4 linked regions of the Notamacropus eugenii genome follow. The protein of the gene in region 4 purifies or fractionates together with the protein of the main gene of each other region. This does not show direct contact. Links are inferred from orthologs where the notes say so. Each region holds a gene or a part of one and is shown on either strand. Other genes may lie near its edges. The genes, in order: SKP2, ATG7, SIRT2 and FOXO1.

The links.
Region 1: the proteins of FOXO1 (region 4) and SKP2 purify together in Homo sapiens (affinity purification with western blotting; 4 studies listed by BioGRID). This does not show direct contact. The link is inferred for Notamacropus eugenii from reciprocal best matches to the Homo sapiens genes FOXO1 and SKP2.
Region 2: the proteins of FOXO1 (region 4) and ATG7 purify together in Homo sapiens (affinity purification with western blotting; 4 studies listed by BioGRID). This does not show direct contact. The link is inferred for Notamacropus eugenii from reciprocal best matches to the Homo sapiens genes FOXO1 and ATG7.
Region 3: the proteins of FOXO1 (region 4) and SIRT2 purify together in Homo sapiens (affinity purification with western blotting; 3 studies listed by BioGRID). This does not show direct contact. The link is inferred for Notamacropus eugenii from reciprocal best matches to the Homo sapiens genes FOXO1 and SIRT2.

Annotation. Positions count from the first base shown.
Region 1 is NC_092875.1:424,995,223-425,002,650, forward strand, and holds the start of SKP2 (S-phase kinase-associated protein 2), read right to left. Parts: upstream 3,012-7,428; 5' UTR 2,761-3,011; coding exon 2,475-2,760; intron 1-2,474. UniProt on the Homo sapiens protein: Substrate recognition component of a SCF (SKP1-CUL1-F-box protein) E3 ubiquitin-protein ligase complex which mediates the ubiquitination and subsequent proteasomal degradation of target proteins involved in cell cycle progression, signal transduction and transcription.
Region 2 is NC_092874.1:433,684,393-433,692,087, forward strand, and holds the start of ATG7 (ubiquitin-like modifier-activating enzyme ATG7), read right to left. Parts: upstream 3,038-7,695; 5' UTR 2,951-3,037; intron 2,641-2,950; exon of another isoform or gene 2,461-2,640; intron 1-2,460. UniProt on the Homo sapiens protein: E1-like activating enzyme involved in the 2 ubiquitin-like systems required for cytoplasm to vacuole transport (Cvt) and autophagy.
Region 3 is NC_092876.1:32,024,214-32,031,273, reverse strand, and holds the start of SIRT2 (NAD-dependent protein deacetylase sirtuin-2), read left to right. Parts: upstream 1-3,868; 5' UTR 3,869-3,995; coding exon 3,996-4,011; intron 4,012-4,250; exon of another isoform or gene 4,251-4,337; intron 4,338-4,485; coding exon 4,486-4,532; intron 4,533-5,024; coding exon 5,025-5,073; intron 5,074-5,185; coding exon 5,186-5,302; intron 5,303-5,624; coding exon 5,625-5,666; intron 5,667-5,828; coding exon 5,829-5,935; intron 5,936-6,178; coding exon 6,179-6,235; intron 6,236-6,435; coding exon 6,436-6,504; intron 6,505-6,998; coding exon 6,999-7,060. Other genes in the region: CCER2 (coiled-coil domain-containing glutamate-rich protein 2), read left to right, coding at 1-21, 454-531; NFKBIB (NF-kappa-B inhibitor beta), read right to left, coding at 940-975, 1,161-1,409, 1,842-1,930, 2,368-2,605, 2,722-2,827, 3,228-3,430. UniProt on the Homo sapiens protein: NAD-dependent protein deacetylase, which deacetylates internal lysines on histone and alpha-tubulin as well as many other proteins such as key transcription factors.
Region 4 is NC_092876.1:103,132,852-103,140,865, forward strand, and holds the start of FOXO1 (forkhead box protein O1), read right to left. Parts: upstream 3,122-8,014; 5' UTR 2,718-3,121; coding exon 2,064-2,717; intron 1-2,063. UniProt on the Homo sapiens protein: Transcription factor that is the main target of insulin signaling and regulates metabolic homeostasis in response to oxidative stress.

The sequences.
Region 1 (7,428 bases), on a different chromosome or scaffold from region 4:
TCAGATTTATGGAGGATGAAGAAATTTATGACCAAACAAGAGACAGAGAACATTATGAAGTGCAAAATGGATAATTTTGATTACATTAAATTGAAAAGTTTTTGCACAAACTCAATGCAACCAAGATTAGGAGGGAAGCAGAAAACTGGGAAAGAATTTTTCAAGTAGTGTCTGTGATAAAGACCTCATTTCTAAAATACATAGAAAACTGAGTCAAATTTATAAGAATACAAGCCATTGTCAATTGATAAATGGTCAAAGGATATGAAGAGGCTGTTTTCAGAGGAAGAGATTAAAGCTATCCGTAGTCATATGAAAAAATATTCTAAATCACTAGTGATTAGAGAGATGCAAATCAAAACAACTCTGAGGTACCACATCATACTTATCAGAGTGGCTAACATGACAAAACAGGAGTATGATAATGTTGGAGAAGATGTGGGAGAGTTGGAACACTAATTCATTGTTGGTGGAACTGTGAGCTGATCCAGCCATTCTGGAGAGCAATCTGGAACTATGCCCAAAGGGCTACAAAAATGTGCATACCCTTTTACCCAGCCATATCACTTCTAGGACTGTATCCCCAAGAGATCATAAAAATGGGAAAGGGTCCCACATGTACCAAAATATTTATAGCAGCTCTCTTTGTGGTGGTCAAGAACTGGAAATCGAAGGGATGCCCATTAATTGGGGAATGGCTGAACAAGCTGTGATATATGAAAGTAATGGAACACTATTGTGCTAAAAGAAATGATGAACAGAAAGACTTCAGAGAGGCCTGGAAGGACTTATATGAACTGATGCTGAGTGAAAGGAACAGAACCAGGAGAACTTTGTACACTGTAACAACCACAGCGCAGGAGGACTTTTTCTGGTAGACTTAGACAACCACAGCAACGCAAGGACCTGAAACATTCCCAATGGACTCTTGAGGCAAAATGCCTTCCACATCCAGAGAAGGCTATGGAACAGGACTGCAGAATGAAGCAGAATATTTTCTCTTGGGTTATGTTTTGTTTTTTCTCATGGTTTCTCTCATTCATTTTAACTCTTCTATGCAACATGACTAAGGTGAAAACGCATTAAATAAGAATGTATGTATAGAACCCACATGAGATTGTGTGCCATCTTGGGGAGGGAGGGGGGAAGAAAGGGTAAAGAAGGAGAAGAAAATCTAAGACTTATGGAAGTGATTGTAGAAAACTGAAAACATAAATGAATTTAAAAAAAGAAATGAGTCTATTATTTTGATATTGCACCTCACTGCTTTCCTCTCTTCCCCTCGGGATAATCTAAATTGTTTGTAAGGTCAGTAGCCTTTGAAACCAGACTTAGGCTGCCTCTGTTCCAGAACTTCATGGACAGAACAAACTTTTTAACTCCTCCCCCTACTTCTCAGGTAAGGTCATCACTTAATCTAATACTTACTTAGCCTTTTGCCACAGGGGAGTAAGCCTTTTGTTGTATTTCTGTCTTTTTAGTATGCTTAACTCTCCCTGACTCCATTTATTCAAACCATTTAGGGTTTTCTTGGCAAAGACTGAAGTGGTTTGCCATCTTCTCCAGCTCATTTTACAGATAAGGAAACTGAGACAACCAGGGTTAAGTGACTTGCCCAAGGTCACACAACTAGTAAGTGGCTGAGGCTGGGTCTGAACTCAGGAAGAGTTTCTGACTCCCTGTCTGGCACTCTAACCTAGGAGTAAGCCTAAGGTCCTTAATTGCCCATCTAGGATTCAGTGCTTATCCAATACCAAGTGTAGAGACTGTAGAAAAAAGGCCCATGCATAAGTACAGGGCAGTACTGCACAGTATAAACCAAAGCACAAACCTGCAAGATCTTCACCTTACAAACTCTTCCCCATGATTTATGTATTCACTTCTGCATGTCACAAATCTAGTGAAAAGGTTGGAATGTACCTAGATATATCTTCAAGCAGATCATGACCAGAAGGTAAAAATTTTAAATGTTCCTGGACAAGACTGAAGGCATTGGCTAATCTATATTTTTTGTTGGGAACAATAATTAAATCAGTTTAGAAAACAAAGGGTGAGGAACATCCCTGTACCAATATAACTGTCTTAAGTACTGAGACTAGCCAAAAGTCACAAATCCAGTATGTGTTAAGATGAGGGACACCAGATCCTGATAGCTCTGTCCCCCATATACCATTTCATAATTCAATGGACTCTCCAAACTGAGATCTGCAAATATAATACATCTGGAAACACTATTGGATTTAGAGTCTGAAGACCAGGATTCAAGTCCTGATTCTGACATATACTTACCTGTCTTGCCCTAAGACCTTATTCTTACCAACTTTCTCATCTGTGGAAAGAGGGGGTTGAACTCCACGGGCCCCTTTCCATCTCCGAACCTATGATCTGGTGCTTAGCGGTCATCCCTAAAAGTTTTCTACTAACTCCTGGAAGTGTTGCAGTACAACAAGCAAACTTCAGGCTTTCAGACTTACCTGAACTATTCTCTTTGGATTGCCTGGGCCTGCGGGCAATTACAAAGTCCTTTTCCCTGGCTTTCACCTTCTGCTTCTTGGGCGGAGGGGCTGGCGTGAGGAGCAGCTCCTGGGGGATGTTTTCAGTGTCCACCTTTTCCTTCTCCAGAACTGCAACCCCCATGCCTGAGAGCAGATCCGAGGTCTTGTGGAGGTCCCAGCCCCACGTGAAGGTGAAATTAACATTGCTGTTTGTATCGGGAATCTCCTGGAGGTGTTTCCTGCAGGAAATTGACAAGCTTTCCATCAATGAGCATCCCCCCCACGAAGCGTCCGAGCCAAACCAACCCGGGCTGGCACAGGCAGCGAACGCACAGGGGAGTCTCAGCCGTCCGGGTGGCTGCTAAGTGGTGAGCTGGGGTACATGTGCATTTATCTAAAAAGCCTAGAAGGGGAGGGGGAGACGGGGGAGAGGAGGAAAAAACACGAACCCCCACGCCCGGCCGGGGAGGCTGGAGAGAAGCTCCCAGAGCCACGAGGCCAGAGCCTCCATTGGCCAACTTACCGTGCCCCTAAGCGCCTAAGCGGGGAAGGCTAAACAGCGCAGGTCCAGGGGAGAGGCACAGCATCCACATTTTCCTTCTCCTCCATACCTCCGCTGTGCACCCCCGCAAATAGGTCTGGTTACCTGTGCATGATGGACTTGCCGGGGCAGACTAGGGGATTTAAGTCCTCGCATGAATGGCTCAGCCCCGGATCTCCAGGCTTCCCGCGTCCACGAGCCGCAGCCGCACCTCCACGCCCCGCAGGCAGAGCCGGACCCAGCAGGGCAGCGTCCCATTCAACCCGCGCGCGGAACCTTTTCCCTCTCTCGGTAGGCGGCCCCGGACAGGCGCGCTGCCTGCTGGGATTTGTAGTCTCCTTCCTCCTGCCAAATCGTCGGTCTGCGGCCGTCTCTTCAGCCCACTCTTCGTATTCTCGCGCGCCCCTTCTCACTTCTCCTCCCACTCCGGCCCCGCCTACGATAACCCAGAAGCCCCTGCGGGGCGGGACGCCAGCGAGGCCTGGGGAGAGCGGTGACGTAGGCACGAGGAAGCGGAAGGGAAGGAGGGGGCCGGCGGAGAAATGTCACCGGCCTGAAGGCAGCCGGTGTTCCTGCGCTGCCTGGCGCCCTGCTCCGCGCTCACCCCGAGACGGCGGAGGCGCCGGCGGGTCCTCGCGGCCCCTCTGCCCGTTGGCCCACGGAGCCCCCCGGCGGGACGGTGAGATCGGGGCTCCGGGAACGCGCCGTGGGGGACGGCCGAGGCGGGGATGGCGACCCCGAGGGCCCGCCGCGCCTGCTGAGGGGGGCGCAGTCGTCCGGGTGAGTCGGGGGCAGCGGCCGGCGAGGGGCGGCTCCCCGGGATCCCGAGTCTGTCCTGGGAAGCATCACCACACTGCGGCCGGGGGTGGGGGTAGGCGTGGAAAGGAACGGGGGGGGTCGCCTGCCCCCTCCCCCGGGTCGTCACCCCGTAAGGTGCGGGTCCTAGGGCCCAGACGTGGAGGACATCCCCCCCGGGATGACGGAACCACTTCCGGGCCCCGGGCAGGACGGGCACCTGCGGCTCCGGGCGGGCCTCCCGGGGGGGGGGGCGGGGAGGACGCTTTCTGCTCCGCTGTTAGGCCCCCCCCGCCTAATGCCGCAGTCCCTGAGCAGCCTCCGGGTCCTGCTTCGGGTCCTGCCCCGGCTTTGCTCGGAACCGTGGAAAGATGACGTATCTGTGGGCACAATTAAGCCTCCTTCCCGCCGGATGTGAGTGGTTATTGATCTCAGTGGTCAGCTTCTTTGTGGATGGACGCACGGACGGACGGAGGCTGGGATGGATGGGGAGGGGGGTGCGTTCTCCCCTTTCCTTTCAGGGAATTCCTGATCCCGGAGGTTAGGGTGCCTGTGAGTCTGAAAATAAAAGGAGGCTTTGGGGAAACAAAAGGGTGATTGCTAAGCGGTAGCGACGATCGATACCTCTTGAATTGGCTGTCTTTATTTCAAACTACGTCAGCTTGAGGCTTCCTCTGCGTAGTTCACTAAACTGAGGTGGTTCTTGTAAGCGGATGATCTTTATTTTCCCAGCCATTTTTAGCTTCGTTATCGTGACATTATCGTGGCGGGGACGCGCCCTCGCCTCTTCTGTCAGTCCGGAAGGTTCGACAGTTCTTCCATCTCTCCTCTGGGGAAGAAGACATTCAAAAGAGCGTTTCAGTGCAAATAATTATGTTTTTATCCAAAAGAGTACGTCTAGGTCAAAGAGGACGTGTGCCCAAGCTACGTGCAAACCCTTTTGTCTTTACCCCTTTCCTTTGCACAGATCGTTGATAATTAACTAGTGACTACGGTTAGAAAACCTGGAGATACGGGAAGGGTTCCATAAAGACTGGCTGTCTGTCTGCGATATCCGTCTGCAGGCTAGGCTTTCTCTTGACTCATACCCTCTCTGGAATGTGGCGTCTTTGGTGTCGCTTAGTGTAAGGTCTGAAGTTCCAGTTTGTGAATTAGGAACATCTCTCATTCAGCCCTCACTTCAAAGGTGTGCAGGCTACGGGTGGGTGGACTGTGCAGGACCTCTTGTTGAACCTCCTGAGTGGAGCTCTAGAGAGCCCAGTCCTGCCCTGGAGGAACAGGTGTCCGCAGACTGCAGCCTCCTCAGCGTGCTTCATGGGGGTTAGTTTATTATTCATCATATTCAGTCCTGACCCATCATCTTAACTCCCTTCAGTTTATCTAAATTATTGAGAGTGTTAGCCTAAAACCAGCTTTTGTCCATTTTAAACTTGGAGTCATCCAGCCCATCAGCTTCAGTTAGATGTTTTCCACAAGCTTTGATTGCACCTGGCTTAGATTTAGCATTTCCTGAGTAATACAGACCCTTGATGAATTTTAGGTTTTTTTGTATTAAGGCTCACTTCCTTAACACCTCGTTTTGCATTTACACAAAGATATGATTCTTATTCCATGACCAGGATTATTGTAAAGAGATTTATTAGTGATCTAGGTAAGTGAGTTAATAATGGGCTTATTGTATTTGATGCCATTGAGCAGGGATTTGCCAACACTTTGGAAGCTTGAAATAGAATTCACAGTGATGGTAAAGGAGACCTGTCTCTATTGGACTAAATCCTACTGGGATGTGTAAGGTACTTGGTGGCAAAAACAGATACAGGGGGCGAATGGCAGAGCACGGACGTAACAGAATAAGAACAAGGAATCACAGCTGACTACAAGTGGAATTAGTTATAGGAATAAGGATAGTGTAATAGTATCAAAAAATCAAATATGCTAAGAATTCATTTTTATAGAAATAATGGCACTGAAGCCAGGCTGAAATTGTGGGAATAGTAGATGGAGAAAGCTGGCCTCAGTCAGGGAAACTTGGTTTGGTGCTGACATATTACCGACTGACCCTGGAACAGTCACTTTATCTCCAGTGCCTCAGGCATCTGCTTTGGTGGTGAAAGTTTACAGTTGAGAACTTGAGTTCTCTATGCCACTGAAATCACAGATCTCAACCACACTTATACTTGCCGCCTCAGCTGTAATGATTATCACCTACATTAAATAAGAACTGGGATGTAATCCTTTTAAGTTCTCTTTGGCTCTTAAACAAACAAAGAGGTAAAGGTATTAGGGATATTTGTTTACCTTGTGGATAAATGGGCAAGGTCCATGGTGTATAGTCAGAAATTTTAGGTACCTAAGTAGAATATTCCAGAAAGCGTCTCTTACTTTGTTAAATATAAAACATTCTCAAAGTAGGTATGACTTCCTTGGTTGATATTTGTAATGATAAAGGATAAAATAACTATGTGCCTTAAAGGCATATTTAATTAAAACTGACTCCTTGTCTTCCTACTTTACCCTCACATAATGTCCACCATAAGCAGTTAATCTTCAACTAATTCAGAAAGTTTAGTATTTCTTGAAAGTTTAATACTACGCTTTACGCTGCTCTGAATTTTTTTTCTCTTTACAACATTCTAGCATCTACTCTACCCTTTGTCATAGTTACTCTGGTTCTGCCTTTTGAGACTTCTTTAGTTTCTGGATCCTAAACATTGTAGGAGTTTCTCAAGGAGTTGATAGATGAAATAAATAGGGGTTATCTAATGTTTATCTTGAAGTATATGAAGAGTGTTCAAGGTGAAGATTACAGATCAATTTTTTTTATCACAAAGGATTGAACAAGAGAAATGAACTTAAATTCAAGAGAGAATTCTTGGAATTTATTTTTGTTACTAAATGTCATTTTTTTCTTTATTAATCTCTCCCATTCCCTTTATCTAAATCATGGATCAGGGTAAGAAAAAAACTAACCAAATAAAGCCCTCATTACAACAGCTGTAGGCTTATGAAACAAACTCCTACTTTGTGTCTGAAAATGCATGTCTTATGTATTTTAATTTATCACCACATTGTCAAGAGGTATCATGTTCCATCATTTTTTGGACTTGTGTTGGTCAGACTTCTAAAGTTTTCCAAATTTGTTTTACTCTACAATTTTGATATTGGGGAAAGTCGTTTTCCTAGTTCTCTTTGCTCTACATCATTTCATAGAGGTCTTTCTCGAACTGTCCCATTTTTTAAGTTTCTTTTGGCAAAGTAATGTTCTGTTACTTTTGTACACTGTGGCTTGGTTAGCCATTCCCTAATGAGAGGATACTCTTTTAGTTTCCAGTTTGGGGTTCTCATGAAAAGAATTGCTCTAAATATTTTTGTACAAATAAATCCTTTTCCTCTTTTTCTGATTTCATTGGAATATGGTCCTAGTAATGATATAGCTAGTTAAACAGGAATGAGCATTTTCATAGTTTGGGGGACATAGTTTAAAATTACTTTCCAGAATAGCTGTCCCAATTCAAAGTTCCACCAACGATGCACTAGTGTACCTGTTTTTCCCACAGCCCCTCCAACATTTGTTATTTTCTTCTTTTGTCACCTGCC
Region 2 (7,695 bases), on a different chromosome or scaffold from region 4:
CTTGTATGAATTGATGATTGTGAAGTAATTAGAATCAGGAGAATTAATACAGTCATAAGTCAATGTTATAAGACAAACAACTTTGGAGGTAATGAACTCAGTGCAGACTGAAGCAATGCTTTTGAACCTGGCCAACGCAGGAATTTGTTTTGCTTATCTATACATGTTAGGAACAGGGATTTTGTTTTTCTTGCTTTCTCAAATGGGAAGGGGGCAAAGCAGAAGGGAGACAAGGATTCTCATTTGAGAAAAAAATAAAACCAACTAAAACTGAATTTAAAAATAGAAGAGGACCCTGTCTTCTGCTATGTTTTAAAAGAAGGTCATCCATCAGATTCCTTTCTCCTCCTCCACTCTGTTCAGCAAAATGGCTCTTCGTTATCCCCAATTCTCCTCCCAACTTTTCCAGTTTCTGATGAAGAAATAAGTTTTTGCCTTGCCAGTGGCAAACCCCTACTTGTATGCTATACTCTCAAATCCATCCCAATGAGTCTCTTCTAGAACTTGCCCTTTATATCATTCCAGCCTTCTTTCCCCTTAAAGTTCTCCTTATACAATGGTTCCTCCACAAGTCTAAAATAGGCCTGTTCCCCTCCTACTTAAACAAGACACTTCACCCACATTCCCTTAAGCTGTTACCTCCCCTTTCTTTTCTCTTTACCTTTTCCCTACTTTCTTTCACAACCAAATTCCTAGAAATTATCTATCTCATTACCTCTACCTCTTCCTGTCCCCTTTTTTCTAAATCTGTATAGTCTGGCTTTCAATCTCACCACAGGAATGACACTTCTCTCTGTCAAGATAAGATCTTGTTAACTGTTAAATCCAATGGCCTTTTCTCAATTCTCATCGTACTTGGTCCTTCTGTGGCTTCTGACAGTCAATCACCCCCTCCCCCTCCTCCAGCCCCTTTAGCTTTCATTACACAGCACTCTTGGTTCTCCTTTCGGACCAATCCTTCTCACACTTCTTTGCTATATCATCCTATTACTCCTACCCACTAATTATGGGTAGAGACTCTATCCTGAACCGCCTCTTCTCCATCTATACTCTTAATGATTTGTCTCCTCAGCTCCCTTAGCTCCAATTATCCAAATCCTAAGAAGGGGCACTGGAGGCACACTGGATGGAGTGTTGGCTTGGGTCTGAAGTCAGGAAGACCTAAATACAAAGTCCCACCTCAGACACTTAGTAGCTATGTGACCACTAAGCAAATTGCTTCTCGTTTGTCTCAGTTTCCTCAACAAGCGTAAAATGAGGATAATAACCACCTCCCAGGGTTGTTGTGAGGATCAAATGAAATATTTGTACCACATGAAATATTTTGTAAGTCCCTAACATATGGCTGGCACCATATAAATGTCACCTAGTACACATGTATACACACACCACACACACACGTCCTAAAGGCATCTCAGCTCAAAATGTTCCAAAGCTGCATTTCTCAAAAAAACCCTATCACTTCACCACTCCTTTATATCTATTATGGGCACTCACTACCTTGGTTCCAATCATCCAGACTGACAACTCTGATAAGAAACTCTTCTCTCCTCCACATCTCATTATTAGCTAAATCATGTTGATTCTACCTCCACGTCTCTCCTTTCTATACAATCATGTTACAACATCTTCCCTAGCTCATGTGGACATCATCTCTCTGAACTATTGCAAAAACTCCTTGGCATTCCTATTTCCAGTTGTCCCCCCTCTAACCCACTCTCCACATTGCTGTAAAACTGATATTCCTACCATACAGATCTGACCATGTGAAATTAATAAGAATTTATTAAGCATCTAATATGGGACAGCCTCTATCCAACAGAAAACCATAAAACACAAAATCCTCAGTCTGGCATTGAAAAAGCCTTCCAAAATCTTGCCCCCACCACCTATCTTTCTGGAATTATTTCACACTGCTTCACATTACCAAACTTTCCTTTTGGCTGTTTCTCCATATACACACTTTCACCTTTGTACAGGTGGTCCCCTCCTGTCTGGAATGCACTCCCTCCTTAATTCTGCCTCTCTCGGGTATCCATCCGGGCTATGGTTAGTACTCTCTCCCTCTTGAAATTATTCTGTATATATCTGGAATGCAAGGGAATTCCCTAAACTGCAGAATGAGGTTATAGGGAAGTGAACAGTTTGGTTGCTTCTCTTTCAGATTCCCCTTAAATACAGACCCACCCAAAAGAAGGGAGGCTTGTCCCAGTTAGGAATCCAGCAACTCATCCCCATTCATTCCCCCTCCCCGCTTTCCAAAGAAGCAAGTCAGAACGCAAACAGAGGCTCGGCCAGAGTTCCGAGAGCTCCTGGGATCGACCTCCCGCAGAGCACTGCCACCTTGGACCCTGGGTCTCTGGGAACACCCCCCACTGCGCCTCATCGCCCCCAGCTCTCTGCACAGATCGCAGCTGGGGCTGGACGAAGGTTAAAGACATTCCAGGGTTAGAACTCTACCGTGGGGGGTGGCGGGGAGAAATACTTTTAAAGTCGATCAGGAGCCACGGGAAGTGAGGGGGGCTGGGCGCCGGAGGGCCCGGGAGCCGAGGTCGGCGCGGCCCCCAGCCCCTGAGCCTCAGTTTCCTCCGCTGTACAAAGACAGGAGCGGGACCAGACTAGCTCCGAGGTCTCCGCCCGCTCCGGACCCTTCCGGCTCTCGGAACGGGCTCGGCCAGGAGCGAGTCCGGGGGCTCGGGAGGCGGCGGGCCGAGGGCCGGGGGCCGGGCCGGGACAGGCAGCTGCATCTCAGGGCCCCCGCCCGCGAGAACGCGGGACGAGACGCGGCCGGACACCCTCACGACCTGGCCCCCAGCGCCGCTCTCTGCACCCGGGAGCCCGAGCACGAAAGCTGCCCTCGGGGTTCTAACTGTCAGAGTCACAGACGCCTCGGAGACCCCCGACTCTCCCTCGGAAACCCCCGGCAGCAGCCAGCCGGCGACTAGCTTACCGCAGCGCCTCTTCCCCGCGCTCCCTGATGACGTATGCTCATCCCGCCCCCCCGAGGGAGGGGCCTGCACTTGGTGGGGAGTGCGCATGCCCCAGAGGAAAAGCGGCGCGGAACTGAAATACAAGGGAAGAAGTGGGAGGGGAGGCAGCCTAAAGGGAAAGTGGGTGGGGCTTCGTGGAGTGTGGGAGTGGTCAAACACGGAAGAACCAATCAAGAGAGACCAGCCTCCGAATGAAATATACCAAACGTGTTCCTGCCAGGTAGAGGCTATCTTGCTTGTCCTGGTCCCAGTCCTCCTTCTGAGGTCCAGGGTGGTACAAGGACAAGTTTACAGGGATGGGAGTCACGTCCGGGGGACAAATCCTGAAGCCGGCCACAATTCCCACCTGTGTCCCCTGGCAAAGTCACTTAACTTGGCAGGGCCTCAGCGGCCTCATCTGTAAAATGAAGGAGTTGGATGTCCCTCTTCTGGGTTTAATTAGCATGTCTTTAAAGACTCATATGTCTGTCTAGGCCTGTGGGACTCTACCTGACCCCCATGGACCACAGCACATCAGGGTCCTCTCTCCTCCACTATCTCCTGAAGTCTGTCCAAGCTCACATTCCTTACTTCCATGACACTGTACCCTCAACTCATCCTCTGCCTTCCCCTATGCCTTTCACATTCAGTCTTTACCAACGTCAAGGTCTTTTCCAATGAGTTCTGCTCATTATGTGGTCAAAGCATTTAAGCTTCAGCTTCTGTATCTGATCTTCCAGTGAATAGTCTGAATGAATTTAGTATTGACTGATTTGATCACTTTGCTGTGTAGGGGACTTTCAAAAAGGCCTCCCCTGGCCACAACTGGAAAGAGTCAATTGTGCTGAGCTCATCTTTCCTTATAGTCCAACTGTCCTAGCCATACCTTGCTACTAGGAAAACCACAGCTTTAACTCTACCGACCTTTGTCAGCATGGTGATATCTCTGCTTTCTTCTATGCTTTCCAGATTGCCATAGCTTTCCTTCTAAGGAGCAAGTGTCTTCTGCAGTGATCTTTGAGCCCAAGAATATAAAATCTGACACTGCTATTTACCAGGGAAATGATGGGACCAGTTGCCAAGATTTTAGGGGTATTTTTGTTTGTTTTGTTTTATGTTAAGCTCCAAGCCAGCTTTTATGTGCTCCCCCTGTCACCCTCATCAAGGCTTCTTAATTCCTTTTCACTTTTTGCCTTCAAAGTAGTATCATCTGCACATCTGAGATTGTTGATTTCTCCTGGCAAGTTTAATTCTGGTTTTTGAGTCATCCAGCCTAGCATTTTGAATGAGGTACTCTGCATATAACTTAAATAAATGAAGTGATAATATACAGCCTTGTCATACTCTTTTTCCAATGTTAGACCAATCAGTTGTCCCAAGTTCAGTTCTATTGCTTCTGGGTTCAAATACAGGTTCCTCAGGAGACAAGAACTTACTATATGCCAGGCAATATGATAAGGGCCAGAGATTCAAAGAAGGGCAGAAGAGAATCCCTGTTCTCAAGATGCTCACATCACCATACAACCTATGTATCCCTCCCTCTCCTTTTCCTTCTTTTACATAAGGAGGTAAGAGCTTAGAGTTGGGTTTGATTTGCATTTCTCTTATTATTAATGATTTGGAGCACTTTTTTGTCTCTTCTGGATCTATTTTCCAGGTCAGTTGTTTTTCCAGTGAGATATTTCACATTGTCTTCTATTTTCTCTTTCTTTTGGTTTTGTTTTGTAATTTCTTGATTTCTCATAAAGTCGTTAGCTTTCATCTGCTCCATTCTAATATTTAAAGAACTATTTTCTTCAGTGAGCTTTTGAACCTCCTTTTCGATTTGGCTAATTCTGCTTTTTAAAGCATTCTTCTCATTGGCTTTTTGGGCCTCTTTTGCCATTTGAGTTAGTCTATTTTTTTTATTTTCAGTGTTTCACAATCGCTATCATACGACTTAGATTTTTTTCTTTCCCTCCCTCCCCCTCCCTCCCCCCCTTCCCCCTCTCTCTCCAAGATGGCATACAATTTTATATAGGTTCTACACATACATTCCTATTAAATACATTTTCACCAAAGTCATGTTGTTGTATAGAAGAATTAAAATGAATGGGAGAAATCATGTAACAAACCAAAACATAATACAAAAGAAAACGATCTGCTACAATCTGTGATTGAATTCCATAGTTCTTTCTCTGGATGTGGAAAGCATTTTGCCTTAAAAGACCATTGGGAATTTTTTAAGTCCTTGCATTGCAATGAAGTTCTAAGTCTACCAGAAAAATCCTCACACATTACGGTTGTTGCTGTGTACAAAGTTCTCCTGATTCTGCTTCTTTTGCTCAGCATCAGATCATATAAGTCTTTCCAGGCCTCTCTGAAGTCTTCCTGTTCATCATTTCTTATGGCGCAATAGTATTCTATTACATTCATATACCATAATTTATTCAGCCATTCCCCAATTGATGGGTATCCCCTAGATTTCCAATTTTTGGCCAACACAAAGAGTGCTGCTATAAATATTTTTGTGCATGTGGGACCCTTTCCGAGTTAGTCTGTTTTTAAAGGTGTTATTTTCTTCAGCATTTGGGGGGGGGGGTGTCTCCTTTAGCAAGATGTTGACTTGTTTTTCATGATTTTCTTGCATTGCTCTCATTTCTCTTTCGAATTTTTCCTCCACCTCTCTTACTTTATTTTCAAAATGCTTTTTGAGCTCTTCCATGGCTTGAGACCATTGCATATTATTTTGGAGTTTTGGATGCAGAAGCCTTGATTTTTATGTCTTCCTCTGATGGTATGCATTGTTCTTCCTCAACCAAAAGGATGGAAGAAAATACCTGTTCACCAAGGATGTAACCTTCTACAGTCTCATTTTTTTTCCCTTTTTTGAGCAATGTCCCAGCCAGTTACTTGACTTTTGAGTCCTTTGTCAAGAGGAGGGTATACTCTGGGGACCTGTAAGTTCTCAGTTCCTCCAAGGTGGCACAGTCAAGGGAGAGGAGTTTACTCCTCTCCTGGCCTGTGCTCTGGTCTGGGAGTAACCACAAGCACTCTATTCTGCCCAGGATCTGCCAGCAGGGTTCCCTTTCCAGAGGTACCACCAGTGCTCCTCTTCACCCCAGGGTTGCTACTCAGGGCTGAGATTCAGATCACTGGCTCAATTCCCCCAGGGGCTTTAGGCTGAGAGTTTCAAAAATGGACACTGTTGTTGCTCCCACAGCCTGGGGCCCAGGCTAGGGGAGGACCCTGCTCCCCTCTCACCCAGCTGAAAGAGTTTTCTCACTGACCTTTGAAGCTGTCTCTGGTGTTTGTGGGTTGAGGGATCTTGGAGCTGCAGCTGCTGCCTGGGATTCCATGCCCCAACCTGCTCCAGTCCTGTCCCTGGCACAGCACTGCCAAGACTGGGTTGCACCCTGCTCTGAGTCCAGTACCATAGACCTTTCCTGTCGACCTTCCAGGCTACGTTGGGCTGGAAATCTTTTGCCCTCAGTCATTTTGGGGCTTTTGCTGCTCTAGAATTTGTTTAGTCATTTTTGCAAGTATTTTATGGACTGTGGCAGGAGAGCTTCTACAGGTCACCCTCCTATTCCACCATCTTGGCTCCGCCCCCACTTTTTCATGTGGTTGTGAATACTTTGCAGAATTTTAAGAACTGTTTATTCATATCCTTTGACCATTTATCTTTTGGAGAATGGCTATTAATTGTGTGTGAGGGTGTGTGTGTGTATGTGCGTGTGGATATTACATATATATTTTTTCTTGGATACCAAACCTTTATCAGAGAAATTGTTTTTAGAGAAATTTGATATGAAGATTTTTTTCCCCCATTCAATCACTTTGCATCTTATCCTAGATACATTAATATTATCTGTGCAGAAGCTTTTCAGTTTTAAGTAACTAAGGTTATCAGTTTTATCCTTTGTAACTCCCTATCTTTTGTTTAGTTAAGAATACATTTGTCAAATTATGATTTTCCCCTCTTCTGTGGTAAATACAGTATTATATTCCTTTAGTTACTTTGTTTTAATCTTTTTTAAAGGTGGTCTTGATCCCATTGACTCTCTTCCCTGATACCTTCTTCTCGTTTGTTATCCTTTTCCCTTTAGGGTTTCTTATTAGTTTATCTCCTATTTTTATCTGACTATATATTTCTATCCCTTTTTTTCTCTCTGTTAGTCATATAGATTCTGTCTTCCTCTCCTTTCTTTTAGCTAATCCTGTTCATTATTTTTTTTATTTCACTTTTTGCACCCCTTCCCAAAAAGGATTTTAGTCTCTTCATTATCTGTCTTCCATTTCTGTTTACTCTATACCCTCATTTTCTGGTTCATAACTCCTATAATCATCTGGTCTCTTTCTTTTCTCTTTATTCTTTATACAATAAAAGCTCCCTATGTATCCATTCTAGGCTCTACTCTCTAGGAACTTTCTTCCACTGCCTTGTTGGTATTACCTCATGGATTTCCCTTTTCTGTTATCCCTCATTCTCAGAACAATGCCAATACTTCAGATGTCAGAGAGGCCACTGCACTACAGTAGGGTACCTCCTATCCCCCTGTTCCCTTATCTATACCCCCTTCTTGACTTTTTCCCTACATTTCCCTGGTAATCTCCCTGGGTTCCATACTCTCCCACTTGTCCAGTTGTCAGTTGCCCCCCATGGGGTTAAACTCTCTTCCTTCTAGGACAAGTAGAATTTTCAGGCACTAAGACCCCGGGCCCCATCCTATGTAAAGTCCTCATT
Region 3 (7,060 bases), about 71 Mb from region 4:
GAGGAGATGGAGGCAGAGAAGGTGAGCCAGGAAGGCTGCTGGTCCACAGGGGACAAGGGTGGCCAAGGTGGCACATGGAGGATGGAGGGCAGAGGGGATCAGGAAGGCTCTGTCCAAGTCCTGCCTCAGGCAACATGCAGTGCCTACTATGGGCCAAGCACTGGGGTGTGTGCTGGGGGTACAAGAGAGGGAAAAGACAGGCCCTGCCCTCCAGGAGCTCATAGCCTAATGGGGAGACAACGTGCACACAGATCTATAGGCTCTAGTCAGTATGAGTAGCAGAGGGAGGACCCAGAGGGGCCTGCCTGCATGGGCAGAGAAACTTCCTTAATCTGGGAATGGCCTACATGGATGAAATCCTGGCCTCTGGAGGCCAGAAGAGGCATGGGGTGATGAAGAAGGGTCTCCTTAGAGCACTAAGTGACATCCCTCTCCCCGCCCCCCCCCCCCCAGGAACATGAACTGGCTCGCCTGGAGCAGATGGGGGAGGAGCTGAAGAAGGCAGCCGAGGCACTGGGCAGGAGGGGCTGAGAAGCAAATGTGAATGCCAGGCACCTGCCCCACCCACCCTCGCTCATCTCAGAAAACTGGGCTACGGACTGGTTCCTGCCCTTCTTGATCAGCCCCTCTCCAGGTGGTGGGGGGAGGGAGCAAGAGAGGGTCACCAAGAAAACAGACTGGGGGGGGGGTCAGAGATTTCTGCCCCACCTGCTCCCCTCTCCCCCAACGTAAATAAAGCACAGATAAAAGCATGCCTTTCCTCCCATTGGTCTGTTTCTGAATTCAGATGCTCTGGCCCCAACAGATCCCTGGACACTCCAGCCAGGGGAATGAGAGTTTTATTGAAATTAAAGCTTTTCTACAAAAAAAAAAAAAAAAAAGCAAAGAAATTGGCTAGAGATAGCCAGCAGGTGAGGAAGGTGTGCCTCAGTTTCCACTTCAGCTTCCGTGGACCACGATGTCATCATACTCATCCTAGAGGATAGTGGAGTCAGGAATTGATTCTCCTTCATCCTGGGCCTCCCCCCAAGTTCCCCATCTCCCATCAACCCTCCCCTTCTGGAACGATCAGTTACCAGACCACCCTTCCCCAGTGCTCTCTCTTCTTCCATCCCATTCATCCAAGTTTCTCACTGGCTGAACTCCCCCAGGTCACTTACACCTTCATCAGTATCGCTGCCTCTCGGGCTGGAGTCTTCCTCTTCCTCAGACTCAGGTTCCGGGGCTCCATGAGCACGCAGGAGACGGGCGAGGAGGGGGTCTGACCTCAGCGTGGCACTACCCAGCGGGGTACGGCCTCCATACATTTGGGCCTTGGGGTCTGCGCCGCCATCCAAGAGTAGCTCCAGGACCTCAGCTGCCTCTGCCTCCACAGCCAGGTGGAGGGGACTCCGCCCACACGTGGGCTCCTGATTGGGAAAGAGAGTGCATGTAAAGGACATGTCCCCCCTTTCTGGAGCCCCAGCCCCCACCCCCTCATCTATCCCTAGTCACTACTGCTGACAACAGTCTCTTCCTAGAGGTTAGGCCTGTCCCCCATTTGAAGGACCTGGTATCTTCATGCCTAACTCACCTTGTTTTTCAGACCATGTATGATCTGAAGGGGACCCCGCTTGTCTCAAAGAAGCCCCTCTGCCCACTGTGGGTCGATGTCTGTTTTATAGCTCCCTCTCAGAGGAAAGCAGTAATCTCCCTCATTTAGACTCCCCCAATCTAGAGAAAGGAGCTGGGGGTGCGGAAAAGAATCTCACAGAACAGATACATGGAAGGAGGGGAACAGCAGCATGGGAAAAGGGAGGAGGGCCTGGGAGTTGAGGGCAGACAGGGTTCTGTATCCTTACTGGTTTGTTGAGATCTGCCCCTGCTTCCCGGAGCAGCTGAACCATCTCTGTGTCCCTGTGGATCACAGCCACATGGAGCGGAGTGTGGCCTGTGGAGTTATTTTAGAGAAACAAAGATTTAGAAGGCCTTTAGGGAATACATTTAGAAAGCATTTAAGGCAAATGAGCATACTCAAAGGAAATGGGAGAATATGCATTTAGTGGGGATCTGGCCCTAAGTTCAAATCCAGCCTCAGACACTCACTTGCCTGTGTGGACTGTCCCTGGGCTAGTTCCTGAACTCATTTGTCTCATCTGTAAAACGGGGAAAGCAGGGGAAAGTGATGACACCTACTCCACTGGGTTGTTGGGAAGATCAAATCAGATAATGCTGGGAAAGCCCTTGGCACAGTGCCAGAGGCAGAGTCACTCCTATGTCCACGTAGCCATGGCTACTGTTTGCATCCCCCTTGTTGGGAGATGCTTCCAGCCCCCAGGAATCAGGCTGCGTCCATGACAGTGGGGAGAAGCATTGGCTGGGCCATACCCTGGTAGTTGGTGCACTCCAGCTGCTCCCGTCTCTCCTGCTCCTCCTCCTCCTCCTGGGCTGTCTGGCCCTCAAGGGGCCCCAAAAGGGCCCGGGCACAGGCATGAGCCCCAGCCCTGCAGGCCAGGTGCAGGGGCGTGTGCCCACCTCGCTCTGCCACACAGAGCCCGGCCCCTGCGGCCCGCAGCTTCTGAGTGAGGGCTGCCTCCCCCAGAATGGCCGCTATGTGCAGAGCCGTCTGTGGACAGAGGAACACAAGTGCAAGCAGAAGCCAGTCAGTCCTGGGGGTGGGGGGTTGGGAGGGCCTCTTCCTGGCCCTGCCGGCCCCATCCACAGGTAGGGGAAGGACCTCACCTGGCCCAGGTCATTCTGGAGATCCAGGTATTCAGTACCTGCCGTGAAGTGAAGCAGGAAGTCCAGGAAGGCTTCGTGCTGGTGAATCACTGCCAAGTGCAAGGCCCTGGGCAGGGGGGACACAGAGGGTCAGGGAGGTGGGGGTCGGGCCACCTTCGAGGCCCCGTTGCGGGGCAGCAGGGGAGAAGGAAATTAAGCTCCCTAAAAGAGTCACCGTTCAAAGGGAAAAGAAGGGGGTCAGGCGGGGTCAGGGGTCAGAGGCCAGGAGGTTTGGAGAGGGACAGAATGTAGGAGCAGGAAAACTAATCCAAGCCATAACTCAACGTCCCCTGTCCCAGGTGATGGCCTGAGGACCCCCGGGGCCTCCTAGCCCTGCCTTCACACCTCCCCTCCCTCCCTCGGTTTCCCCTCCGGTAAGGGGCGGGGATCCCCCCTCCACCTTTCCACGACCCTGGGAAGGGGAGAGCCTTGGGGGCAGGGGCAGGGGCAGCGGGCCGGCCCCTTACGTGTCCCCGTCGTCCGTCACGTAGCCGAACACCTCGGGCGCCCAGCTAGCTGGCTCTTCGTCCTCGTCCTCCTCCGTCCTGTCCCGCGGCCCGTCCGCCGGGGGCCCGAGCCCATCGGGCCCTAGAGACCCGAGCCCGCTGTCGCACCACTCCTCCGCGAGCCCGCTGTCCCCGGACTTCACGGGCCCCGCCGGGGCCGCCATGGCCTACGCAGAGCCCTCCCGTCCCGGGCCCCCCCGGTCCATCCAGAGTCTTGGTCGCCACAGCCGCCGGCCCGGGGATTCCGCGGACCCGGGGAATTCCCCCTGCTCCCCAACTCGCTCAGCGCTTCGACCAATCAGGGAGGGTCGCACCGCCCTTTTTAGAGATGACTGCCAATAAGATCGCGCAACCTTTCCGGCAGGGCTCCGCCCCTCGCACCAAGTTGTCCAATAGAGGCAATAGACGCATTTGGTCGGCTCGGCTCGTGTATCCGCCCTCAGTCCCGCTTTACCCGGACGGCTTCCGGCGCCAGGCACACTGGGAATCGTGGTTTCTCTGTGAGCGGTGGGTCACGCCGGCCTTCAACACGGCGGAAAGACGGCGCGGGGCATTGTGGGATTCCCGCGATGGCCACATGCTCTTCTGGGAATTGTAGTCCATAGCCCGCCCTGCCTGCCCCCGCCCCCGCCCGTGTCCTGCGCCGTCACGGGACGGAGCAGTCGGTGACAGCCCCGAGGGCCCCTGCCCGCCCCCCACGCTGCTGAACCCATCCCCGGGGCCGGGCCCATGGCCGAGGCGGACCGTGAGTCGGGGCACGGGTGGGCTCTTGGGCCGGGCCTAGGACCAGGCCCTCTGGGCGAACGGCTATGGGGACTCGCCACCCGGAAACCACCGCGTGGGGCCCCGATCTAGGGTTGCGGGGAGGAGAATGGGTTGGGCCCTGGGGGCCCCAGTCTCCGCAGCGCCGGCTAAGGCTGGTTGGGAGCCAAGATGGGGGGTCCTAATTCCTGGGGTGTCCAGTACCTAAGGGCCTCGTTTTAGGGTGGAAGGAAACAGGTGCCGCGGCTGCTGCGGGGTATGTGGTGGAGTGGATCTGGTTACCAAGGACCGTGACCTCTGGGAAGCCTGGTACCTGGTTGCTAAGGGCCCCTCTGCACCCCTGCCCGTGGCCAGTTGGGGTCCCCCTCCCCGCTTCTCGCTCCCGCCGCCGCCCCCACGCTAACGGCCTCCCACCCCCCCTCCAATGTAACCCTGTCTCCCTACCCCCCTTCCCTAGCCCCCGGTCCCCCTCAGGACGAGGCAGGGAAGGTGCAGGATGCTCAGGTGAGAGGGGGCGCCCTTGGACGTTCGTGATTGGCTGGCCGGGGAGGGGACGAGGTCTGTGATTGGCCGCTAGGGGAGGGAGAGGACGTCTATGATTGGCCCGTGAGAGGATCCGCGCCTCCCCCGCCTGCTCCCATCACTCATGGCTCTCCCCGGCTTTCCCCCAGGGAGTGGGTCGCCCCGTGTCCCAGATCCACAGGGCTTATTCACCCCGCCCCCAGCCCTGAAACAGCAGATCCGCCCGCCCATCCCCCATTCCGAGGACCCTAACCCCCTCCTTCCCCACCTACCCTTCCCTCCTTTGACCTCCTTTCCCCAAACTGTGCCCCTCCGCTTCCCTCTCTGGCTCTCCTTTCTAATGACCCACCTTCCCTCTGACCCTCTTTCCACTGACTCCCCTTTCCCAACCCTCCTCCCGTGATCGTCCTCCCCAAGCGCCAACCCTCTGGAGCCCCCCTTGACCCTCCTCCCTCTCTGGCCGTTTTCTCCCAGGACTCAGATTCAGAAACTGAGAGTGGAGCTGCATCTGGAGAGACAGAGAGTAAGTTGTCCTGGGTGGTGAACTGGGGGGGGGGACAAGACTGGCTGAAGCCTAGTTGGGACCAGTGCCTGCCCTCTTCCTGCATAACATCATCCTCTGGTCTGCCCCACAGTGGACTTTTTACGGAATCTCTTCTCCCGAACCCTGGGCCTGGGCAGCGGGAAGCGAGAAAAGTTGTTGGATGAACTTTCCTTGGAAGGGGTGACCAAGTTCATCCAGAGTGACCAATGTGAGTTCTTGCTTCTCCCCATCTCCTTTTCTTAGCTCAGGTTGTCTACAGGATGTGCCTTACCCCATCCACCCAACCTCAGCTCCCATGTCCCGGGTTGGGACCACTTCTCTCCCTCCCCTTACCCATTCCTCAGGAAACCCAGTGAGACACATCCAGACCAGGTGAGAACTCAGGACTAAAGGGTGGGACTCACCTTAGGATTCCACAGGGCCAAAGCAGTCCGGGTAGGGAAGTTGTCCTTCCAGGGAATGAGACTAGAGAAACAACCCCAAACTGCTCTGGTCTTGAGGTCTCTCCCCTCACCTTTTTTCTCTTCCAGGTCAGAATATCATCTGCATGGTAGGGGCAGGGATCTCTACATGTAAGTAGCTGCTTCCCTGTGCCCTCAGGTTCCAAACTCCCCCCAGAATGGAGAAGGGGGGCCAGATCCCCAAAGGAGCTAACCTAGGGGTTGGGATAAGGCCCCTCTCACCAGTGAGGTGGCCTCCCCCAGGGATGCCTCTTCTATTACCCTTGTCCCCAGCTGCTGGCATCCCTGACTTCCGCTCCCCGTCCACCGGCCTCTATGCCAACTTGGAGAAGTACAACCTTCCCTACCCTGAAGCCATCTTTGAGATCAGCTACTTTAAGGTAAAACTGTCATTAAGAACACCCCACTTTTCAAGTTTTCACAGACTCCTTGGAGGGAGAACCCTTCCCTTTCCTGAGCCTTCATGCTTTCAAACACTAGCAGGGCAGATCCTGCAGCTAAATCCTTCATCTTATCAAATATCACTAGTGGGCCCCCCAAATCTGGGCTGCTGATCCTGGGTAGGGGATTGTAAGGAGTGAAGGGTTCACGTATCTTCATCTGTCTTTGTCTGTTTTCCCCAGAAACACCCTGAGCCCTTCTTTGCTCTGGCCCGGGAGCTGTACCCAGGGCAATTTAAGGTGAGCTTAATCAGAGGAAAAGGAAAGGAAAGGTACACAATTGGGGGACAGAGTCAGGGCTTCCCCATCTGGGCTTGGGGGGGGTGGGCTGCTCCCCACAATGGGTGGGAGAAGAAACTGGGAAAGTCCCAGTTGTCTAACCACATCAAAGACAATGTGTGTGTACCCCTTGGCCCTCACTCCCCTCCACCCCTCTGTAGCCCACCGTGTGTCATTACTTCATGCGCCTGCTCAAGGAGAAGGGCCTACTGCTTCGCTGCTATACCCAGGTGAGGGCAGCCAGGGAAGGGGGGAGGATGAAATGCCCACACTCTACAGGCTGTGTCCTACAGAGGCAAGTCTGCCTTGCCAGACCCAGTGGGCAGCCCCCCAGATGGGCAGTGGCACCAAAAATATAATTCTTCCCCAAAATAACCACAGTGCATCATTTGACTTCATTTGTCCTTTATAAATACTTTTGAGTTTTATTTTTGGAAAGAACAAACATGTTCTATGATATCTCTGTGTTCGAACGTTAAATTGATGACTAGCCAATTCTTTCTTACCCTAGTCAGATTTTCTTTCCATCCATTCTGATGTGAACTTTCGATTTAGTTTAATTTCAATAAATAATTTTCAGACGCTGTGGCGGAAAGCTGGGTTACACACCTGGGCAAATGCACAGTTCCAATTTCAGAGCCCCTCCCCTCAGGGAGTTTCAAGTCTAGTAGGGGGATAAGGAGGAGACGCTCTAACTGACTGCTTCCTCTTCCCTCTCCCCCAGAACATCGACACACTGGAGCGGGTGGCTGGGCTGGAACCAGAGGACCTGGTTGAAGCCCATGG
Region 4 (8,014 bases):
ATATTCAAGTAGGATTGTTAAATGAACACAAAAAAATGTTATTAAATCAAATTGTTTTTGAGGATAACCTAGATTATTTTAATGTAAAAGAACAGACGCCTTTCATAACTTTCTCATGAAAGGAAGGGTTATATATGAGGTGGTAAAATGATACAGAACACACCTTAAAGTAGCGTTTAAGGCATGTGATTATTTTCAAATCCAACACAATGAAAATTGTTAAGGAAACAAAACGAGTTACTTGAGGAAGAGCTTCCAAATAATGTTAAGTAGTTCGACCTTTTGGTCACACGTTAATTAACTACGTGTATGACCTTTATGTAAAACAACTTTGTTATAACAATTGCCCAACAAGTCTCAGCTCTGGTTATGCTGTGAACCTCAAAATGGGGGAGGGGGGGAGGGAAGGAGACTCAAGAGAAAGACTTTTGGTCACACTAGTGAACAACTGCTATGGTTTTCAACCCTTATGATACCATTAGAACTGGCTGTGAAGAAAGGACCGGCAGGACCACTGAGGGATGGTCCTCCCAGGTTTCTGCTTCCTCAAAAGTTGCTACCGCTTATCTCAGAAGCCTGATGCAGTAAGTGAATAAGTCCCATATTGAGTCTAAAGGACAGAATGGTCTAAAACACTGTTACACCCAATCCTCTTTTAAGGAAAACTTCAGAGCATTCTTTCATGCTACTCAATTTATTTCTACCTGGTCCCCACACTGTCCTGTAACAGAAAGGTCCCTGACACCGTACTTCAATGATGTATGGCCCAAGGTGAATTAAATTAAAACCTCAGTTCTTAATTAGAAGATTTATACATGAGGCCAGCCTAAGTCGGGAAGCGCTTCCATCTTTTCCTACCAACGCAATCACAGGCCCGGAGATTGCATTTATAACCCAAAAGGGTTTGTCAGATCTCGGGAAAAGGAACTGGCCCTTTAAAAATGCTGGCTTTCTTAGCTCAGTCCCTCTCCAGGCAACCACCCCTGAGGTCCCCTCCCTCTCACCCCACCCCCTCCAAAGTGTCACACTTGAACTTTAACTCAGCTAAAGCAGCTCAGCGCCCGTAAACCCCGCCAGCTGTGGCCGCCCCTTTGCACGTGTCGGATGAGCTATCCCGGGTTCTTTTAGCTGGTGCCCAGCCCCCTGAACCCGGGGTCACTTCTGATAAATCAAAACAAAACGAGTCCTGGGTCTTCCAAGAAAACTATAAGGCCCGGACCAAAACAGCTTCCTCAAGCTTCTTTTCCTCCACCTGCCTGTTCCACACTCCCCGAAGTCCAGCGCACGCACCTATACATACACATACACTCACCCTACACTACTCTCTCTGTCACATCACCCCTGTTTTGCTGCCCCTCTAGGTTTCAGGGGAAATGGCATCACGGCTCCGCACCAATTTATGGATTACACACTGCAGAGACTCCCGGGGCTTCCAGACCCTCCCCCTGCACTTCCCTAACAATATTAAAGAAGGAATCGTTGAATTTGGACTTGGAGGACGTGGGTTCAACTCCCGGCTCTTTCCCTTTAATATCTGCTCGACTTTGAGTTTCCTAGTCAGTAAAACGAAGGAGTTGGACTAAATGACCTCTAGGTCCCTTCCAGGTCTGAGTCTAAGATCGGATGACAAGGAAATGGGCCTGCTGCGTCAAGCCTTCTCTCGCTTTCCTGGTCCCGACCCCAGCATCCACTCCACATGTATCATCACTGCATATGTACCCGTCTTTATTCCCAAAGGATCCACTTGAAAGAGCCCCCCCAGCCAAAACACACACTCACAGACACGCACAGACACACACTTCCTGCAAATCTCAGAGTTAGCCCTATACGTACACTACTATAGAGTTCCCTGCAAACAAGGACCGGACACTGGTGGGGGGCAGCTAGCTCTACAGCTGCCCCTCCTCGTGGGTACAAACCCGCACGCCTAGCTCCCCGTAGCCTCCTCCTTCTTCCCACATCCCGGAGCTGGTGGTGACCACCGCGCACCACCGCATCACCCTCGTGGCTTCCCTTGGGCACCCTCCCCCCCACTCCAGGGGTGCGGGCTCGGACGGCCTCACCTTCCAGCCGGCAGAGCTGTTGCTGTCCCCCTTATCCTTGAAGTAGGGGACGCTCTTCACCATCCACTCGTAGATCTGGGACAGGGTGAGCCGCTTCTCGGCGGAGCTCTCGATGGCCTTGGTGATCAGGTCGGCGTAGGACAAGTTGCCCCAGGCGTTGCGGCGGGACGAGCTGCTCTTGCGGGGCTGGCCGGCCAGGGGCCCCGCCGAGGCCGGGGGCACGGGGGGGTGCTGCTGGAGGGGCCCGGGCTGCGGCTGCTGCTGCTGCTGCTGCTGCAGGCAGGTGGTCTCCGGACACTGGAAGTCCGCACAGAGTCCTCCCGCGGCCGCCGCCGCCGCCGCTGCCGCCGCCGCCGCCGCAGCAGCAGCCACGGCCGCGGCCGCCGCCGCCACGGGACCCGAGGGCTGCTCGAAGTCCTCGCTCTCCTCCAGAAGGCTCAGATTGCTGATGAAGTCCGAGCTGACAGCGGCCGAGGCGGCGGACGCGGCATCCCCGGGATTCCCTGCCCCGCCGCCGCCGGAGGGGGCCGGACTGGAGGTGGCCGAAGTCGACTGGTTAAACTCCGGTCTGGGAAGGGGCCAAGTGCACGACCGAGGCCGCGGCAGAGGCTCGAAGTCCGGGTCGATCTCCACCACCTGAGGCGCTTCGGCCATGGTGACCCCCTCCCCTCCCCCCGGCCACAAGAGAGCGAAAAGGAGAGAAACCAGAGGAAGGGGTGGGGGAGGGGACTTCTCCGGAGTTAAATGCTGGGCTGGGGGTGGGGGAGGGGAAAGCGGGGGTGGGAAGGGGGGCGTAGAGAGAAGCAGGGGAGCTGGGCAGGGGGAGAGAAACCAGAACTTAACTTCGTGGGCTTATGAATTAATGCCTGCGCTTCCCCCGAGCTGCTGCTGCCGCGGCTCCGGCGGCCGCAGTGGCAATGGCAGTGGCAGTGGCCGCCGGACAGCAGGTTCGATTCGGCCCGGAGCTAAAAAGGGGCAGAATCCGCCGCCGAGGCGTCCAGCGGGCGAGCGCGGACGGCGGCGGCTGGGCGGGGGCCGCGGCCGTGCCTCCACGGCTCGCGCGGGTCAGCGGAGGCGGCCGCTGCGGCTGCTGCTCGGGCTCCTGCTGCCTGTTGAATGTGGCGGCGGCTGGCTGAGGGAGCAGCAGCAACTCGCCGGCCCACACCAGACTTACGGGATCTACTACCACCACCCAGCCGCGGGGCGGAGTCCCGGCGAGCTCCCGCCCCCCCGGCTGAGTGGCTGCTGCGCCGCAGCCAATGGGAGCGCGCGCGCTGCTCGGCAAACGCCTGGCTTGTCAATTTCGCGGGGCTCCTGTTCCAAGGGGAGGAGGAGGCAGTGGCTCAGTTTGGGGGGTGGGGGAGGTGGGGAGGAGGAGGTTTTCGTGGTTTCTCTTTTTTTTTTTGGATCCTTATTTTTCTGGTAATTCTCGAGTGTGTTTCTGTGAGACTGTGTTTTGATTTCGGCGAGGTAAATCCGCGTGGAGGCGGCGACCGCCGTTTGTTTACTACGGAGCCGAGGAGAAGCCTGGGAGGGACCCGAAGTCGCGGAGATGTGGAGCCTCTGGGGCGGATCGTGCAGCCGCCGCGGGGGTCCTCCCCAAACCTCGCCCTGCCTCTTCGTTCTTGGGGTGCTCAGAGGATGGGGAACCCCCGGGGGCAGGCGGCGGCGTGTGCGTGCAAGGTCTACAGGAATTCTAAGCGCTTTAGAAAAACTAGCGTGGAGAGAAAAGAAATGTCGTGAATTTTTGTGCAATCACCTATTTCGAGCCCCACGCGGAATTACTTCGGTGGGATGCTGAAGTCAGGCGTTCTCTCTCTCTCTCTCTCTCTCTCTCTCTCTCTCTCTCTCTCTCTCTCTCTCTCTCTCTCTCTCTCTCTCTCTCGCTGCTTCTACAACCTCCCCCATACCTACCCCGGCCACGTGCAGAACTCCGAGACTTAGCCTTGATGCCGAGGACTGACTGACAGCTCCATTAAGCAGGGCCAGCCTCCCCTCCTCCCCCTTTCTGCTTCCCTCCCTCTCCGTGAATCCTTTCCATTTCCTCCAGGAACCTAACCACCCACCTGGCAGCTGCAGCCTAAGCAGAAACTGGAGGACTGACGGAGTCCTGTCAGACCTAGGGTCAGGTCGGCTCAGCCCAGTCCTCACTGCCCCTTTCACCCACCAGTCAGGAACGGACTGAACAGAGTGACACGCTAGATGGACCTCGATCCACTCACCTAAAAATCTGAGATTGGTCGAAGAAAAGGGAAACAAGAGATCCTTGTTCCACATACCCAGGGAGGCAGAATTCATTCTTAACATGAAGTGGAACCTTTCTCTCCCCCTGTTTCATTAGCAGTTGGCTGAAAGGATTTCCAGCCTTAGTCTGGGAGGACACCTTTCCCTGGGAGGTCAGGAAATGCCTAACGGGGGTGGGAGTTGGAAGGAGGGGTGGTAAAGAGACCATATTGTTATCAGCACAAACAGTCCGGGAGGACTGGCTCTAGTATTCAATGTTTAACCTTTTGTGGAGACAGCTGATGGTAAGAAGAGTCTGAAGACCTGGGTTCTTAGTCCTGGGTCTGCTACTCTGTAACCTTGGGCAAATCACTTAACTTCTCTGAGCTATTTCCCCATCTGCAAAATGAGAGTATCGGATTCGATGACCTACAAGGCCCCCAGGTCTCACAGTCTAATATGCTGCTAATGCCATTTGTCTCCCAGTTAAAAGGGCTAAAAAGGTTTGGGTTTGGGTTTTGTTTTTGTTTTTTTAAGATGGGTAATATGCCCAAATCTCTGTGCTACATACTATCCAGCCCTACTCCCACCCCTAAAGGACCCCCAGGCTGTAATAAGATTTTTTGTCTTCTGGGCCAATCAAACCTTGACTCTTCTCCTTCCCCCTCTCCCCAAGCAGGGCAACAGGTCCAGGAAGTCCTGTAGAGGGTGAATGGGGCCAGAAGTAGAAAGACAATGGACCTTGTGTCTCAGAAAGCAGGAGAAATAGATTTCTATTTAAGTTTTTTTTTTTTTAAAGGAGGGGGTGTGGAAGACATTTCCTTCCAGAGAGACAGAATCACTTAACATAGAAGATGAACAACTGGGTTGTTTTTTTTTTAATATCTTGTCTAAATTGACAGCTGCCAGTTCTAGACAATCTCCTTTCTTCCCACCAACAATTATAAAACTGGTAAAGGGTTAGAATGTTATGGCTCTTTCTGCAAAAAAGAAGCAAGAAAGAAAGACAAATAAAAATCTCATATCCATCCCTTCATTTCCATTTCAATTGCCTTCACTCTAGTAGAGAACCGCCCCCCCCCCCCTCCATCACCTCACACCTATGTTATTTGCAATAGGCCCCTATTGATTTGGATTATCCTGATTCCTTCCTATTCCAAGCCATTCTCTTGATGTTTGTCAGACTAAGAAACCACCTTCATGTTTCGATCATTCTACAAGAACTGCCTCATTCCAAACTTCACATCTAAATTTCCCTGCTTGGCTTTCAAGTCCATCTACAATCTGGGTCTATCCTACCTGTCCCATTTTATTTTCATCTACTCCTTAACATAAACTCTTCACTTTAGAATGACTGCACTACTTTGAATAGTACTAATTCTTGCTTCCTTGTTGCTTTGTGTTTGGTTTCTTGCCCCTACCTAAAATGAACTTTTCTTTCTTTGCACCTTTCCAATTAGTACCTGTTCTTTGAGGCCTAGAGCAAGACTCAGGAAGACTTCCTGAAAACTCTAGCCCACGATGACCTCTCTTCCCTTTGAACTCATGGCCCTGATTTCCTGTTCCACTGCCTGTCGTTTAGCATGTAATTATAAATAGTACTGCCTTGTGACATCACTTATACTGTTGTTTGGTTTTTGCCATTTAACTCATATATATTACATTTTCATACTGGTATACCTTATTTCCCCAACTGCTCAGTAGATTCCTTAAATGCAGATACTGAGTATGGTACTTCTTTGTAGCATCCCACAGTGCATTATATAGAATTTGTACTCAATTAGTGTTGTTAGTAGAAAATAAGGAGGGTACAAGGAAGAATTATAGTAAAATATTTGTCACTTCTATGGGGGTGAGTTGGCAGGCAGTGTTAATGGTACAAAAAATGTTTCAATGAAACATTTAAAATATACAGAATGAAACATAAGGAAGTTCAAGGGAACACAATCAGTGAAGTTTTGTTATTCAGGTTGAATCTAATATACACCTAAAATACTAGGTAATAATTAACAATTTTGTACACAATACTGTTTTTCATTTGTTGTACACTGAAATGCTCATGTTTGTCATTTGTTAATAATAAAATATAAAAATGGAAACAATTATAGTCAAACACCAGTTCTCCAAATTCTTATGGTAGGGTTGCTGCAACCCCTGACAGGCATGTGAAAACCCTTCAGTATTTAATTACATTTCACATTTTATCGCCTTCAAATTTTTATCCTTACTCCACTACCCCTTATAAGGTGGCGTATAGAAAGTTCGAAGAATCAGAAGCCAGAAGATCCAGGGAATAGTCTCCGTTCTATCACTTACTAATTTTATTTGTTGTTGTTCAATTGTGTCCAACTTTTTGTGACTCTGGGGTTATCTTGGCAAAGATGCTAAATGGTTTACCATTTCCTTCTCTAGCTCATTTTATAGATGAGGAAACTAAGGCAAACAAGATTAAGTGACTTCCCCAGAGTCACACAGCTAGTAAATGTCTGAGGTCACACTTGAACTCAGGTCTTCCTCACTGCAGGACTGGCACTCTTTCCACTTAGCCATCTCGTGCCCCTACTAGTGGTATAGGGCCAACCACATAACCTCTACATAATAAAATAAGACTAACTTGCTTTAATTTTTAAAATATTGCCAGATCTTTTTCCCCCTAATCTGTTCAAGGAGGAGACTGAAGACAGTGTCTAGGTTCTAATATATCTCTGAATCTATGATACAACTGAAGAAACCTTTCAAATCAATAAATATTGACCATGCCCCTACTATAGCCAGGATATTGTACTAGGCACCGTGAAAAATGCAAAGCTTATATAAAACATAAATAGATATTCATCTCACTCAAGTTGTTAATTGAACATTTCCTGTAATTCCCCACCCACTGCCTCCAAGGGGGCCCTGACTTTGCTTTTCTTGAATATTGGAAGGGTTTCTGTCACTTCTCTTCAGAATCATAGGGTGCTGAGTTCCCCTACCTTGGTTACCAATGCTTAAAACAAAAAAACTTCTGAAATTCTCCAGGAGGACAAAAATCACAATCCATTTGTCTCTCTCTCTCTCACACACACACACACACACACACACACACACACACACACACACACACACACCCTCATTGTCATCATTATCATCATCATCATCCTCTTCCTCCCTCAGTAGGGGAGTAGCGTACCTTTGAATACACACCCATAGTGCCACCAGAGGGCACCCAGTAACCCAGGACTTGCACCTGGAGTTGACACAGTAAATCCAAGTCCCAATTGTCTTCATAACTAGCCATACAGATGAACAAACAAAGTTTTTAAGGAAAAATTACCTCCAAGTGCTCCAAGGCCTCTGTCTTGATAGAAAGGTAACTTCGTGAAGTAGATGGTACTCTACATTTGAAGTCAAGGAGTTCCTGGGTTTGAATCTTGCCTCTGACATTAACTGCAGTGTGACCTCAATAGGCAAATCATGAGCATTCCACTTAATTATCAATAAAGTGGGGAAACATTAAACCAGTAGTACGTAGCTCACAGGACTGTTGTAAATCAGCTCAAATGAGAATGTGTGCAAAATGACTTACAACCCTTTGAAGAAGTTGTTGGGTTAAGTGGAAAGTCTCCTGCTCTTGACTCTGAAATCAATTCACTGTGAGGTTGAGCAAATCACTTATCCACATTGGTTCTCATTGTCTGCAGCTATCAATTGGAGTTAAAATTAAAATCCCACTTCTTCACAACCCC